Linked DNA regions of Drosophila melanogaster. The gene in region 1 interacts genetically with each later gene. Each region holds a gene or a part of one and is shown in the gene's direction. Other genes may lie near its edges. The genes, in order: Osi21 and rdgC.

Region 1 (6,189 bases):
CGCTTTCCCTGCGCGCTGAATGGTATGGGATTCCCCCGGTTTGGTTCGTTTTGGTTCGGTTTGTGTGCGATATAAACGAAGTTTACCAAATAAATAAGAGCCCTCCGCCTCATCTCGTCTAGCGATTGGGTTGCAATATATCGCGTACGTGCTGGCATGCCATAAATATGTGGCCCATGTAGATGCGATGCGATGCGAGGCAACAAAATTATATTTCTGTTTGTGTTTGCAACAATTTATTTTTCTCTCCGCCACCTCCACCCACTGCCACGCCCACCTCGCAGATAAAGCGAAAACATTTTTCCAGCTCAACTCGCTGCGCAATCGATAACGATGAGGGAGACAAAGGAGCCATCGACACCGAATCGTTTCAAGGATGGGGATTTCCCGAGCTTATTAGATAGATACATCGTAACATAGAGTAGCAAGTGTTCCGAAGGTAAACTTCAAAATATGTAGTGCAAGCAAATTTGGCCAAGACCGCAGCATGTGGCATAGTTCGAGGGAGGAGCAGGGATCCGTAGTCAGCCCATATATCCTTTCATATTTGAGTTTTGTGCAGGGCAAAGGTACAACGCCCTTTTATATTCATGGGGGCCAAGGAAATAGAGATTTTCACAAATCTGTCTCTTCACTCAAATATGTACAAAAGGTTTGTAAGTAAATTTTAAAGTATGAACACAGTTTGTAACAACGCATTTCTTGTCTTAATGAAATAATTTTAAAATATAAAAAGAGAAGAATAAGCACACTTTTATATATTATTTATATTTATATTTCCTATTTAAGGGGAGGGAAAAAATTATTAGTATTTATGCTTCAATTCAGTTTAAAACGCTAGTTTTGCCAACGATTTCTATGGATTGAAGTATATTGAAGTATTGAAATATTTTTGAAGTGCGCTTACATCGCAATTCCACTGTTAAATTTGCGACCAGCACTCAAGAACAGCAGCAAGAAAAACAAAGAAACTTTTGGAGGAAAATGGCAGCAGAAAAATCGGAGCACAAGCAACAAGCCAACAAATTTAAAATGTGAAAACTTTGAAAGTAGTTGAAAGTTGGCAGCAGGCGAACGAACCGCAGTCGCCAGAGAAAGGCGATGTGCAGTTGGAAAATGGGGGAAATTCTTTGTCTAAGCAGGGGCACTGCGGAATGCGGAGGGGTGCAGGTGCAAACAGGGCTGAGAGATACGGGCGCACGACTACGAATACGGATGCGAATACGGATACGGGACTCGATGATTTGATGTAGCTGAAAATTTGCCGCTGAGATTTTCTTTGTGGTTTCGACTTCTTTTGATATGAGAGCATTTTCCAACGTGCTGCACACTCAAGAGCAGCTAACCCCCAATCCCGCCGCCTGTCATTTGCCAATTCAACGGAAAACTTCAAAGAAGCGGCAGTGCATCCTCCTGTCCGGGGAAAATAATCCCCAAAGTCCGTCGCCATTTTGGAATGGGTAGCAATCGCTATCCACACGCCCACAAAGGAGTCGCAACCACAAAACGCAAGTGCACAGGAAGTGGGTGTTATGAAATATGACGAGATATGAACTCATATTCCACCCTCGACGAGCTCTTCTGATTTTGCGCAGTTGCGTTTTGGAAAGAGAACAAAAATAGCATAAAATTGGTCCACCATTGACCATAAAAAGATGGTTTTCATCTTAAATTACAATATAATATTAATATAATTAGTGGCTAATTACAGCGAAAGCAACATTACTAATATTATTGCTTAATATCCATTCTTTTATCATAGAAAAAATGTACAGCTTCCTTTTTTCTGATTCTTAATATAGTAAGATTTATTACTTACAGTATGATTTTTACATTATGAAGCAGTATGATATTATTACAGTCTTATTAACTTTTGAACTTGCCACAATGATACAAGCCAACCACAAGGCACTTGGCCAAAATGCCAATCAAACTGGCGCTGAGCAAATATTATCACAACATGGCCGCAGAACAATGTGGAGGCCATCAATCAATCGGCACTCGTCAGCCAAACCAATCATCCATTTATCCATCCATATCCATCCGGATCCTGGCCATCCAATCACACAATCACCCAATCGCTCAGGCGTATCGCAAGAACAACAACAATTTTCCAATTAAGCGGCCAAAAATTTGAGCATATGATGATTATTGACGATAAGAGCTCCCAACCGCCCCAGGAATCCCAAATGGTCTGCCGAAATGTGCAAATAAATCGCACAATTGTCCGTCCATCCGTGGTGGAGTCGTCCTTTTCGGGAGGATTCCGAGCTATCTACTACGGGCATCGAAACTAAAAGTTAGCTGCGGCCATGCCAAAACCAAAACAAAGAAACTTTCGTTTCCAATTTTCTTGATGTATTAAATTATTTACGCCCTCTTGAGCAGAGGATTCGTGTGCGTGGCACTCATATGTGCATCTGAAGATATGTACATATACATACATATATATATATGAACATGTGTTTATATAGGTGACTTCTATATGTTACATTGCCAGTCAATAGTTTTGTTAATAACAGTTGCCCAAGAAGATAATAACACATACACTTTAATTATCCCACCAGTGTAACAGTTTTTTCAATTCGGACTTAAGAAATCTAGAAGTTAATCCTCTACGTACTGTTAGATACATAAGTTAAGACTTACTTTAATTAAATACCTACGTTAATAACACGATTCTGAAAGTAAGAATATTCAAACCCAGAAAATGTTTACCATTAAGAATGAAATGTACCAATAATTGTAGTATCTAATTCCAAATCTCAAAAAATTCTTAGGAAAAAAAACTTCTATCATTATGTTTATCACTGATTTCCATAGTCATACCTAAATGTTTTATCAGAATAACTTTGTAAAACTTTAAGACTGGCACATTTGTAAAGCCAATTTATTTAATTAGAGAAATTATCGTTATCCGGGTGGAAAAGATAACCGGCGAAAGTGTCTCAGTCACTTTTCACTGCGATTAACTGTCACCAGTTAGCCAGATGCGCTGTGATCTTCCCTAGGCTGGAAAATACCCATTAGAGGATGGAAGCTGTTGATTTTCACAGTTGGTGCGCAGAAAAGAAAATTTCTTGACTGCAGCCAACTCAATTTCACCCAGTGGGCCAGTGAGCCAAATGTGCAGCGATCACCGCACGGCATCGACGGGGATTCCCCTGCTCCGTCCAAGAGCAGCAGTTGCAATTTATGATAACCAATTTGCGGACTACAAACACAACCATTGCCGCACGAGCGATACCATGTGCCGGCAAAGATTCCAGCGGAGATCCCAGTCCAAGATCCCAATCCAAGGGGCAGTAGCCGAAGTAGCGGCTAAATCACTCCGCTGCACGCATCGTTAAATATTATAAGTTATTACAAAGATATAGTGTCTGTGGATCGGTTGTTGCCTCCGGCGAACAGCTGGCATCTTCTACTGATTTTTTTTGATCCTACTAACCATATTTACTCTTGGCACTAATTCTACTCTCTTTTCTAAGAACTGATTAATGTGTATTTTGTATTCAAAATATCTGGGCAGTTCCGGTGTTCTACTGCTCCAGTAATCGCTACAGTGGTGATTTGAATTAAAGAACTAGCTGAGTGCTAGTGTACTGGTTTAATTCCCATTTCTTGTTCGCTTACATACAATCTATAAATATTGTTTAAGATTTCAGTGTTTTATAAATGACGCATATTCAAAATTTAAGCACAGTTTTCCTTTAATTAAAATATTCTGCATTTCAAAAAGAGTTCCCTTAGTGTTAAGATATATAATATTCTTTAAAATTGAAATTAATATTTCATAGAATTCGAATCTATTCGCTATCTAGTTCCAAAACTAGCAAATTACCATTATATAATATATAGTTTAAGTAGCTTGAGATGCAAACAATAATCTTAAATATTATCTTAAATTAAGTGAAGTCCACTTCCCTTGTTGTATTTCTATGATATGCATTGACAATCGTACTCATTCATTCAAACAGGCGTATAGAAATCGAAAAGTGCTACTTTGTGGCGGATAGATCCGCAGCTCCACGGCTCCATCGCGGGACCTGAACAAGATGCAAGAGGCATCCATCCGTGGTTGGGTAACGAAAACATGTCAGCGCCCACAGACGACCACGATAAGGAGAGTCGGTCGAACGCATAACAAAATATGGCCAGTGCTAATTGCCCTCCCAGTAGCTGCTCCACCAGGTCCAACCGAGATCCGTCTGCATCCCATCGAACACGCCAGTTCTTTCCGTCTGAGTGCGCCGCAATCTTCGATCGCAATTTATAAAAGCTCTGCCCGCCCAGCGATTTCGCTGCAGTAGCATCTTCAGATTGTCGGCAAGTGGACGTGGATATTAGCCAACGAAGATCAGCTCTCAAGGTCAGGACTCTGGATAACCGCATTTGTCAGCAAGGACTTCACAATGAAGCGTCTCGAGTGGCTGCTGCTTCTGGCGTTGGTAGCCTCCGTCTCAACGGCAGTGACTCCAAGGAGAAGGCGACACAGCGCGGTGGAATCCGCAACTACCTCCAGTCCCGGTGATTGGGGAACAGCCTGGGGCTTGGGTCCCGAGATGGCACTCGTGAGGAGGGTGTACGACGATTGCCAAGACAAAAACGATTTCATTGGCTGCCTGAAACAGAAAGCCCTTCATGCTCTTAGTCGAGCCCTGGACCAGGACTCAATCAAGATAGTGGACGGTCTGGCGCTGGAGAAGCAAAACCAGAGCGAAACGGAGAGCATATTGGGCTCCCTGACGGATGCCCGTCAATTTGGCAACCTGTCACCCATCGATCGAGCCCTTCTCTCCAAGGCGGACAAGCTGATGCGGACGCACACGCTCAAAATCGACATGGACGTAGGCGGCGGTGAGGATAGTGTGGGTCGCGAGCATGGCCACAAGAAAAAGAAACACAAGGAGGGGGGTCACATCAAGTACGTGGTGGCCGCCCTCCTCACCGCCATGGGCATCGCTGGTCCATTGGGTCTGAAGGCTCTGGCCGCGATCGCCGGCAAGGCTCTGGTCATCAGCAAGGTGGCCCTGACCATTGCCGGGATCATTGCGCTCAAGAAGCTCTTCTCGCACGACCACAGCGAGGAGACCAGCTTCCAGGTGCACGCCGGTGAACATAACAGGTAAGCCTTAAGCTGTAGTCTTCGTAAACAGGTCCAGTAATTAAATCAAAAAGGATTTAAATATGGGATAGTATTTCCGTCAAATATTGCATATTTTCCTTTGCAAAACATTACATTTCCATAAAGAATTGGTTTAACATTCACTTTACCTTTATGTGCTCCCCTGCAGACGCAACACCTACGTGATCCGGCCGGTGTCCAAGACGAGTGCTGCGGCAGGCGCCGGTGGCGTGGGCGTGACCGCCGCCGGTGGCAGCTCCTCGGTGGATCCGTATCGCTACTACTATGAATACCATCAGCAGTAACGCGTGTGCGCGCAGTGGCGATAGCGGTGTCTGGAGAAATCTCCGCCGTTTTTCGGCGCCGGAGTCTTGATGCAGCTAGACTACCAAAGAAACTATCCAAACATCCAGTCGGACCAATTGGAGTCCGACAGCAGCCGTTCACCTTAATGTAGCTCCTAAGTTGTAGGCTAAAATACATATTATGCAGTTGCGCGAACCCTGAGAATGAAGCCCAAAAAATAAACGATATCGAAATGTACTCCTAGAGATTGTAAAAAGGAAAACTGCTGTTTATTAAACTTCGTGGTAAACAAGGTCTCCGGAATTCAAATCAATCGGAATCATCCGATATAACATAGCTGGCAGTATTACGAGAGCCCATAAGGCTACTAAGGAGCGTTTGTTGCCTGCCGGAAGTTCGCTATTTTGGATACAAAAAGAAGATAATATAAAATGTTCAGATTTATCTAAAGGCTAACATCTCATACCGTACTACTGACTGTCACATCTAGCTGGCCCTTTCCACGTGTGGCAGCTGTGGCACCTGCACGAGTTCGTGCAGTTCCACGACCCCTAGCAGCTCCTCGTCCCGTCGCGGGGGCAGTGGAGACGTTCACTTCGCTACCCAACACAGACATGGACTTTTCTTCTTTCTTCACCTTCAAGCCCTGTGTGTCAAGCATTTTCAGTAGATCCCCATGCTTGTGAAGCGCCCTAAATCTTTCAAGCTCCTCATCGATGTTCTCGTCGTTGGGCATTGCTTCCATCAAGTGATCAACT
Region 2 (7,475 bases), on another chromosome or scaffold:
ATATAAATTAACCTATTTGTATTCCAGGTGGGCATATCTCAGGTGCTATATTTGTCCGACAAATATGCCGATAAGCCCACATATCGTGCATCCAAGCGGATGCTGGATGCAGTGGGCGTGGAATATAAGCGACACATCCCCCAGAAAAAAACGATCACCATTGATTTTGACACCTTCCCGGAAGAAGATCCGAATGCATCCCTGGGACTAAACGAACTCCATTTGTAATGTACTAATACAATCTTAGCTATCTTGACAACTTTTAATGTGTTTAAAGTAAATTTGACGTGATCGGACTAAATATGTAGACAAATGATAAATAAATTTAATAGCATGCTAATTAAGTTATACTTAGTTTGGCAGTACTAATATAAATAAAAAAATACAGTTTAACTAAAAAGCAAAACGTAAAACGATGTTCTTTTCTATCTGTGAGTCAGAAAAATGCTTCGGAAAATGAGTTCCCTGTAATCGATATTAAAATCAAAATCCAGTAAATCATTGAATCTGACCACTTCCTTTGACGTTTGTTCAAATATGTTCGTAAAAGTATAGTCAAAATCAAAAGCAGAACTTATCTAGATCCCAAAACGTACATATTCTAACCTAATAGGGAATAAAAAACAATAGTTTTTCGTTGAGTATTGCTCCTTTTTTGCAGAGCATAAACGATTAGACGCTTCATTTTATCCGCACGCAAAGATACTTAAAATGTTTTTTAATTAGTACCCATTTGGGAAGAGTGTTCACTTGCACTAATTGACTTGGCAAACAGAAGACTGTCAGGTGAGACTCTTAGCATGCACAGGTGTCCACCGGAGACCAAAAGCGCCATGGAAGTGCTCTACTCAGGTAAAAGTACATGGTATTTTCATATTGAATCTTGGAATTAAATCCCATAATTCATTCCTAAAAAGTTAAATTAATAATTATACTGATCGAAAATTAAAAACAGGGTATATGTGTAATGGAAACTACTCTGTGCCACTTTATAGCTCCGTAATTAAAGGACCTTGAAAATTCTATTGCTGGCCCACACATTAAATTAATTAAGTTAGCCACTTTTGAACTTTGATGTTGTGTTGGCTAAAAATTCGCATGCAGCCATTTTAAATACCGGGCTGAGCAAAATGTTTATGGGATGTTTTTCAATGGCATGCCAGCACGAAGGAGCTCCCACCTGACCAACCAGCCAACCAGGCCATTCAGGTGAGAGTGGCGTGCGGCCAACCGGCCAACCGGCCATTAGCACTGGAATATGCAAAACAGTGCGCGAAACAGGACGAGGATGCCAATAAGAAGAACAGCGAGGATACTCGACCTATCGGAAATCGCCGAGTGACCCTTACTAGCCTCCATGCACTATTGTCTGCAGGCTGCATTGAAACGTGTCCGGCGGATTTCAATATCGGGCCACAAGGTAAGAACCGGTTATGCAGAGAAGATGGGTCAAGCTGGCTGGTAAAGTAAAGTGTTTTATTGTTGAGGTGGAAAACGAAGAATTAGAGTTTTCGTCTATTTGACTTACATTATTCTTTCCTACACCTAAACTAACTCAACAATTCCACTAGCTAAAATCTTTCCGGCTTAAAGAGTTCTGAAGAAGTGGAAGTCTAAGGAACAACACGGACGACCATCTAATCGTGTATCTTAGGCATGTAGAATCAGGGGATTAGTATCTGAAAGGCTGTGTATCTTCATCTGGCCCGGCTTCTTGTTTGTATTTGTATGCATAGAATGCAGACAAAGTTTACCAATTGCAACGGAAACTTGTGCCGCACGCACATCTGCTAACTGAATTTGAAGTGGGACCGAGCATTCCGTAATCACTAATAGCAGGTTAGCCGCTCTGGGCCCTAATTGCCATTAAAGTTAAAGCTACGACCAACGAAAACCCCAAAATCGTGAAACCACCGTGAAGGAGCAAGGGGACAGCACTCATTTTGGGGCTTTCGTGAGTTTCAGCTACAAAATCCCCTCGAGGCCGGAGCCCCAAAATCACACAGAATGGCCAACGGAAGGCTTGGCGGCACTTGGACTATTAAAACACATACGAGTATACGACACCCCAAAGGCCATGGAACCGAGCAAATAATCAATATAACTACAAGAACGGAACCATAACAGAGCTCTGGGTTTTGTGTAACGATAGTGGAACATATCAACAGAATATCAAGTCACACGGCGCACTTGTTGGTTATAACCATCGATCCTCTTCTTTTCTTTTTGCAAACAGGTGCCAGAAATGCTCGGCTGAATATTGCAAAATTCATTAAATAGATAATTATAATATTACATCTGCAATTGATTCCAAGATATTATATCCCATGAATCTTGTACATATATGAAGTAGTTTTTTAAGCGTATTTAAGTCTATCATTTTCATATTACTATTTTTATCATAAATTTTAAAACTTAAAAAAAGGAATAATATCGAATGATGAAATACTTTTTCGTTTGTTCAACAATTAAAGATGTACATACGTATCTTGAAGAAGAAACCCCTTTAATCTAAAAAAAATCTGTCTTAATGGCTTTTTGTTGATTCCCCTATTTAGTATTACTTCTTCTTTCCCAAACAACCAGCATCAGCCGCACGTCTGGTTGAAGTTTTAACTGGAAGATGCATATCATAAATTCAAAATGCAAACACGAGGACGTTATCAAACTTGGCATCTTTGGATTAGCATCGCTGCTCTGCTCGCTCTCTGGGTTGCACAGAAAGAAAAATATTGATTGATTTCACAAATGGCTGTTATTCAAATACTAACCATTTACATTTGGTTTCATATTTATGTTGCCTTTTCCTTTAATACTAATTACGCAGATGAAACAATTGCGAAATTCGTTAACAATTTAAGGAATAGATATACCCGTGCTATTTCCAGTGTAGATGAAATGGATAGAAGAGAGCGAGAGAGCCGTGCGCAGCCTCCGCTGCAAAATGAACGGGAATGGCAATGAAACGGGGCAATCAGCTGATGCGGCCATCGCTCTTTGTTTTGCTTTCGGGCAGCATGGCGATGGCGGCGAATATGGCGAGAGTGGGAGCGAGTGAGAGGTCGGCGGCGACGCCGGCCGTGGCAGCAGCAGAGCCTTTGGCAGCGACGGAGGCAGCAGCGGAGGCCAAAAAGGATTTCCGAGCTTGTGGCCTGCGTTCAGTTTGTAACGGTATTCCACGCGCCACGGACGCTCGAATAACAAAACGTCGCGCTCCCGACGATCCGTACCCGTACACCAGTACGTATACGTAATGCTCTCCGCACAGAACGCGCTATTTCCGAACCAAAAGCAGCATATGCCTTTGCCATCCCTCCTCTCCCGTCTTTTGTGTTCTTCTGGTTATATCTGTCACCGCGAGAATTTTTGTGTGTGGCTTCATTTAATGCCTTTTGCCGCCTTCTAGATGACATATGTATGTATATGTACATTTGTATATGCATGCATGTACATATCTTATTGTCATCGCTGTTTATCTCTCTTTTGGACCGACCAATTTTCTGTGTTTGTTTACGCTCACGCCTTCATGTTATGGCCACTTGTGCCGCTGGCACGGAATGGTCGCATCCTTAGTGCCGACAGAACTTTCCAACCGAATGGCTTTTTTTATTCGCGCTCTTCCGTTTAGTGCGTCGTTTTGCTAAATTACTAACAAATTCCACGCATTAAATCGGATCAGCAAAAAAAAAGTAAAATCGACCGGCGCGGCGGATGGGAAACACTCGAAAATATACTCACATACAAATGTACATATATGCGAAAGAACATGCATTTCCATACGTTCTATACACACATGTATAAATAGTACTGCTATCAAATGTACACCGAAAAGAAAAGCTGTATTCTATGAATTCAAATAATGCAAAATAAGCTGAAGGGAGAGTTCGTGTTTCTACTTCTTATTTTAAGATATTTTAGCATATTCCATATATTCCAGTCAATTTTTTTAAATGATCCATTAGAACAATTTACAAAATAAAAACTGCTACAAACTGAAAATGTTTTTAGAAAAAAATGGTGTCACTTTTTCGGCCCAAGATATATTTCGTGGTTTTTTAACTTATGTTGCCAAAGAGAAGGTCTGGTTGAATGGAAAAAATAACACGGAATGAAATCGAAGGCGATGACAGCTAGCAGACAAAGAAATGAGGCAAGGAGCAAATTAATAATATATAAACGATTCCATTACAATCCAGAGGTGTTTGCCATATGAATTACTCATGATATTTTGTGTTTCACACGAGTAAGCGCAATATTTGTCTAGTCCACTTATCCATTTGCCTGTTCGTATGTTTATTACGTATACGACAAGTATTCTGCTAAGATACAAGTATGTATATTTCTTACCCATTTGGCGGTGTGAAAACTTTTTTCGAAATTGAGGACACACAAGTGCAGTGTTTTTAAAACAAACAAGGAAAAGCAATAACAAAAGACTAAGCAGAGCAGACTAGGGGAAAAATGTAAATTAAAAGCATTGGGCTACTCAAAGGTGATGAAATTTCAGAGAAATACTTTAAGTGACTTTAGTGAAACTATCATTTGTACAAATTTATTTAAGCAAACAACATAAAGCTTTTAATATATTTATCGAATTTCTATTCAAGCTTAGACAATTTCTTGATGTTTGTTTGAACTATTATTATTGAATTTTTCGTTACATTCAAGGCACATTCTCTATTTCAAGAATATTTCTAGAATCATTGGTTTACCTTATTGGCCCAATCAATAGTATGTAGATTTCTACGGCCAATTTGTATAGCAATTAAAAGAAGAAATTCTGACATTCCATACCCGTAAACCCAACTTAACTTGAACGCAATTTGTTATGATACAAGAATAACACCGAAACATGGAAGTGTTCATAAAAACAAATGCACGGACACGTTTGTATGTATGAATTGAATGGGGGATTGAATCCGAGTTGGAATTTATTAGGTCCCTTACCGTGTGCCCGCTTCCTTGTACCACATTCATAATTTGGGGCCACCTGCCCACTCGGATTTGGGCCAATTGGCGGATGGCGGGTGGCGTACGGCTGGAGGATTAGCAACCGCCCAACTCCTGGAGGTTGTAAAAGTGACTGAATGGGAATGAGTTTTATGTGCCTCACAGGCAACAAATCTCGATGACGTCTGGCATTTGATTTCGAGCCTTTTTTCCCTTCGCTCTTTGTTTCCTTGGGATTTAGTTGCTTTTATTCGTGATTTCGTTTATTTTTCCCACAGTTCGGTTGAGTTGCTTTTTATTTTTTCGCACGAATTCCCGGCGGTTTCTTTTTTGGTAGTCGCACGCCAGCAGCCCCAAAAATTCTCACCACTTCCGATTAAATTTTTTTTGTTATGGCTTTTCCGTTTCCGTATCCCCAGTTTTCCACGGTCACCGAAAAACTCGTAAAGAGCAGCTCCTCGGAGTTCTTGTTTCTGGTGTTTTCTTAGCACGAAATGCCAATTTAGAGTCATTTAAATTGGGTAGAAAGTTGCGGCAAGAAAAGTCTGCCCACAGTCCACAATGTTGGCTCGAATTAAGTCGGGTGTTCGAAAGTTTTGTTGCCAGTCGACGGAAATCGGACTAAAACCGAAAAGCAATTAACTTAAGGCTGATAACCAAGATGCTTTTGGTAATAACATACATAAGTACGGATAAATTGGAAAATAATTACAAGTTTTGGGAGATACATCTTCCTGAAATTTAAGCTTTAAAAGTATAAAAAAGTTATTTACTGCCATAATTTCTTATGTTTATTATTTATTACTTTAGATACGCACACTCTTACCACGCCTGTATTGTATTTTCAAATGAAATGGCAAATTTTTAAAGCTGTACCAAGATATATATATTAAGGTGTATTTAATTTAAAGTTTTGAAGTTTTAGGCTTGGGATTGAAGTAATAACAATCCAATTAGTTGCATCAAACCAAAAAGCAGAAGGGTATTAGAAGAATAGCGGATGGAACTTAAACCAATCCCGCACGATGAGTAACCGTCGCTAAATGCGTTTACCCAAACAAGATAAGAAATTTAAAACTCTTAACGAAAATCGATTAAATTAAGCAGTTTAGCTTCCATCCCCCGAGGAGCCGAGGTGCCGTCATTTTCACGCCTGATTTGTTAACCAAAACGATGGCATAAGGTCGGTATTCGGATACTTTTCCATGGCAATTAAGCCGCAGTGTTGGCTCACATCTTTTGCGCTACACTGGGAGAAAAGCTCTCTCCTCGCCATTCCTCCTCAAACACATTTGCACCTACTCGCACGGAAACCATAAACGTTTCCCACTTTTAGACTCGTTTTACAGCTCTTGAAATATATCCTTTTCATCGAATCCTTCTCTTAAATTTCATAGTCATCGTGAAGAAAGGAATATAAAAGCTTTATTTCAGAACCTCAATCAACGGATTGCCTCATAAGCGATGCAATCGAGCTCAAGCATATTTCAAATATACTCTTTCTTAAAGTGCCAACTCATCTTTTGCATATATGGTATATTCTTTTTCGAGTGTATTTGGTGTGAATAAATCATGTTTCTTACAGCTGGCTAGAAATTCTAGTCCATATGGCTGTAGGTGTCGGCGCCCAACGCTCAATCTGCGTTAATTCCCAATTTGGTTTATAAATAAAAGAACAAATCGGTCCTTAACGATGACGAGCATCGGCATCCGAGCTGACATCATTCCAAAGTCGTTAAAACTGCCGCCCTGTTAATGGCTACCCCAAAGGAGATTTCGGGTAGTAAAAGTGCAAAATTGAACGGAACACCTTTATGGGCAGCGCGTGAAGCGGCAATAGGTCCTTGCAGGTCCTTCGGATCCCTACCTATTACCATATATATACAACTAGTACCACGTGCCCTCTTACAAATTGACTGGGGCAACTTAATTAGTAGCGTAGGCAAACTAAATTACCTGTCGAAGAATTTGAGTGAATCAACTTCACGACTGACCTTGTGAGTGCCCGTAATTAGCTCAACAATTTGCAACGAAAAGAATGAAATCAAATTAGCAACACACTCTGCGAAATTGGCACTAATGCAAACTGTTTTTAATGCTTTTATCTCATGAAACAGAATGCAGTTTTGGGCATCATTTGCTGGCTACCAATTTAAAATGTCGAAACTGACAACGATGATTTCAAGGGAAGTGTTTTTAATAGAAAGAATAAATATTAAGTGCTATGCAATCACGAAACAATAAACGAGCATATGAATATTGACATATTTATTGTTCAACTTTATTGATAATTGAATAGATGCATAAACTCATCCAGAAAAATTGGGAACGACAAAAAACCGAGCTTACTCATTCTCGTGAAATGAAACTTTCTCAATTTCGAGACGAAAACGATCTCAATGCTGATATTGATATATGATATATGATATATGATATATGATATATGATATATGATTGCTCTCATTTGCAATATGAGAATGGTTTAATCTCGATCTAAGTATTTGAGCATGTTTCGATTTTGGCTA

The links.
Region 2: of Osi21 (region 1) and rdgC, changing one suppresses a phenotype caused by changing the other (phenotypic suppression), as found in Drosophila melanogaster (one study listed by BioGRID).

Annotation. Positions count from the first base shown.
Region 1 is NT_033779.5:11,283,827-11,290,015, reverse strand, and holds Osi21 (osiris 21), read left to right. Parts: upstream 1-4,309; 5' UTR 4,310-4,412; coding exon 4,413-5,125; intron 5,126-5,294; coding exon 5,295-5,430; 3' UTR 5,431-5,689; downstream 5,690-6,189. Other genes in the region: mre11 (meiotic recombination 11), read right to left, coding at 5,741-5,830, 5,898-6,189.
Region 2 is NT_037436.4:20,244,911-20,252,385, forward strand, and holds the start of rdgC (retinal degeneration C), read left to right. Parts: upstream 1-3,169; 5' UTR 3,170-3,415; intron 3,416-3,717; exon of another isoform or gene 3,718-4,150; intron 4,151-7,475. Other genes in the region: CG6951 (uncharacterized protein), read left to right, coding at 28-228. UniProt on the Drosophila melanogaster protein: Phosphatase required to prevent light-induced retinal degeneration.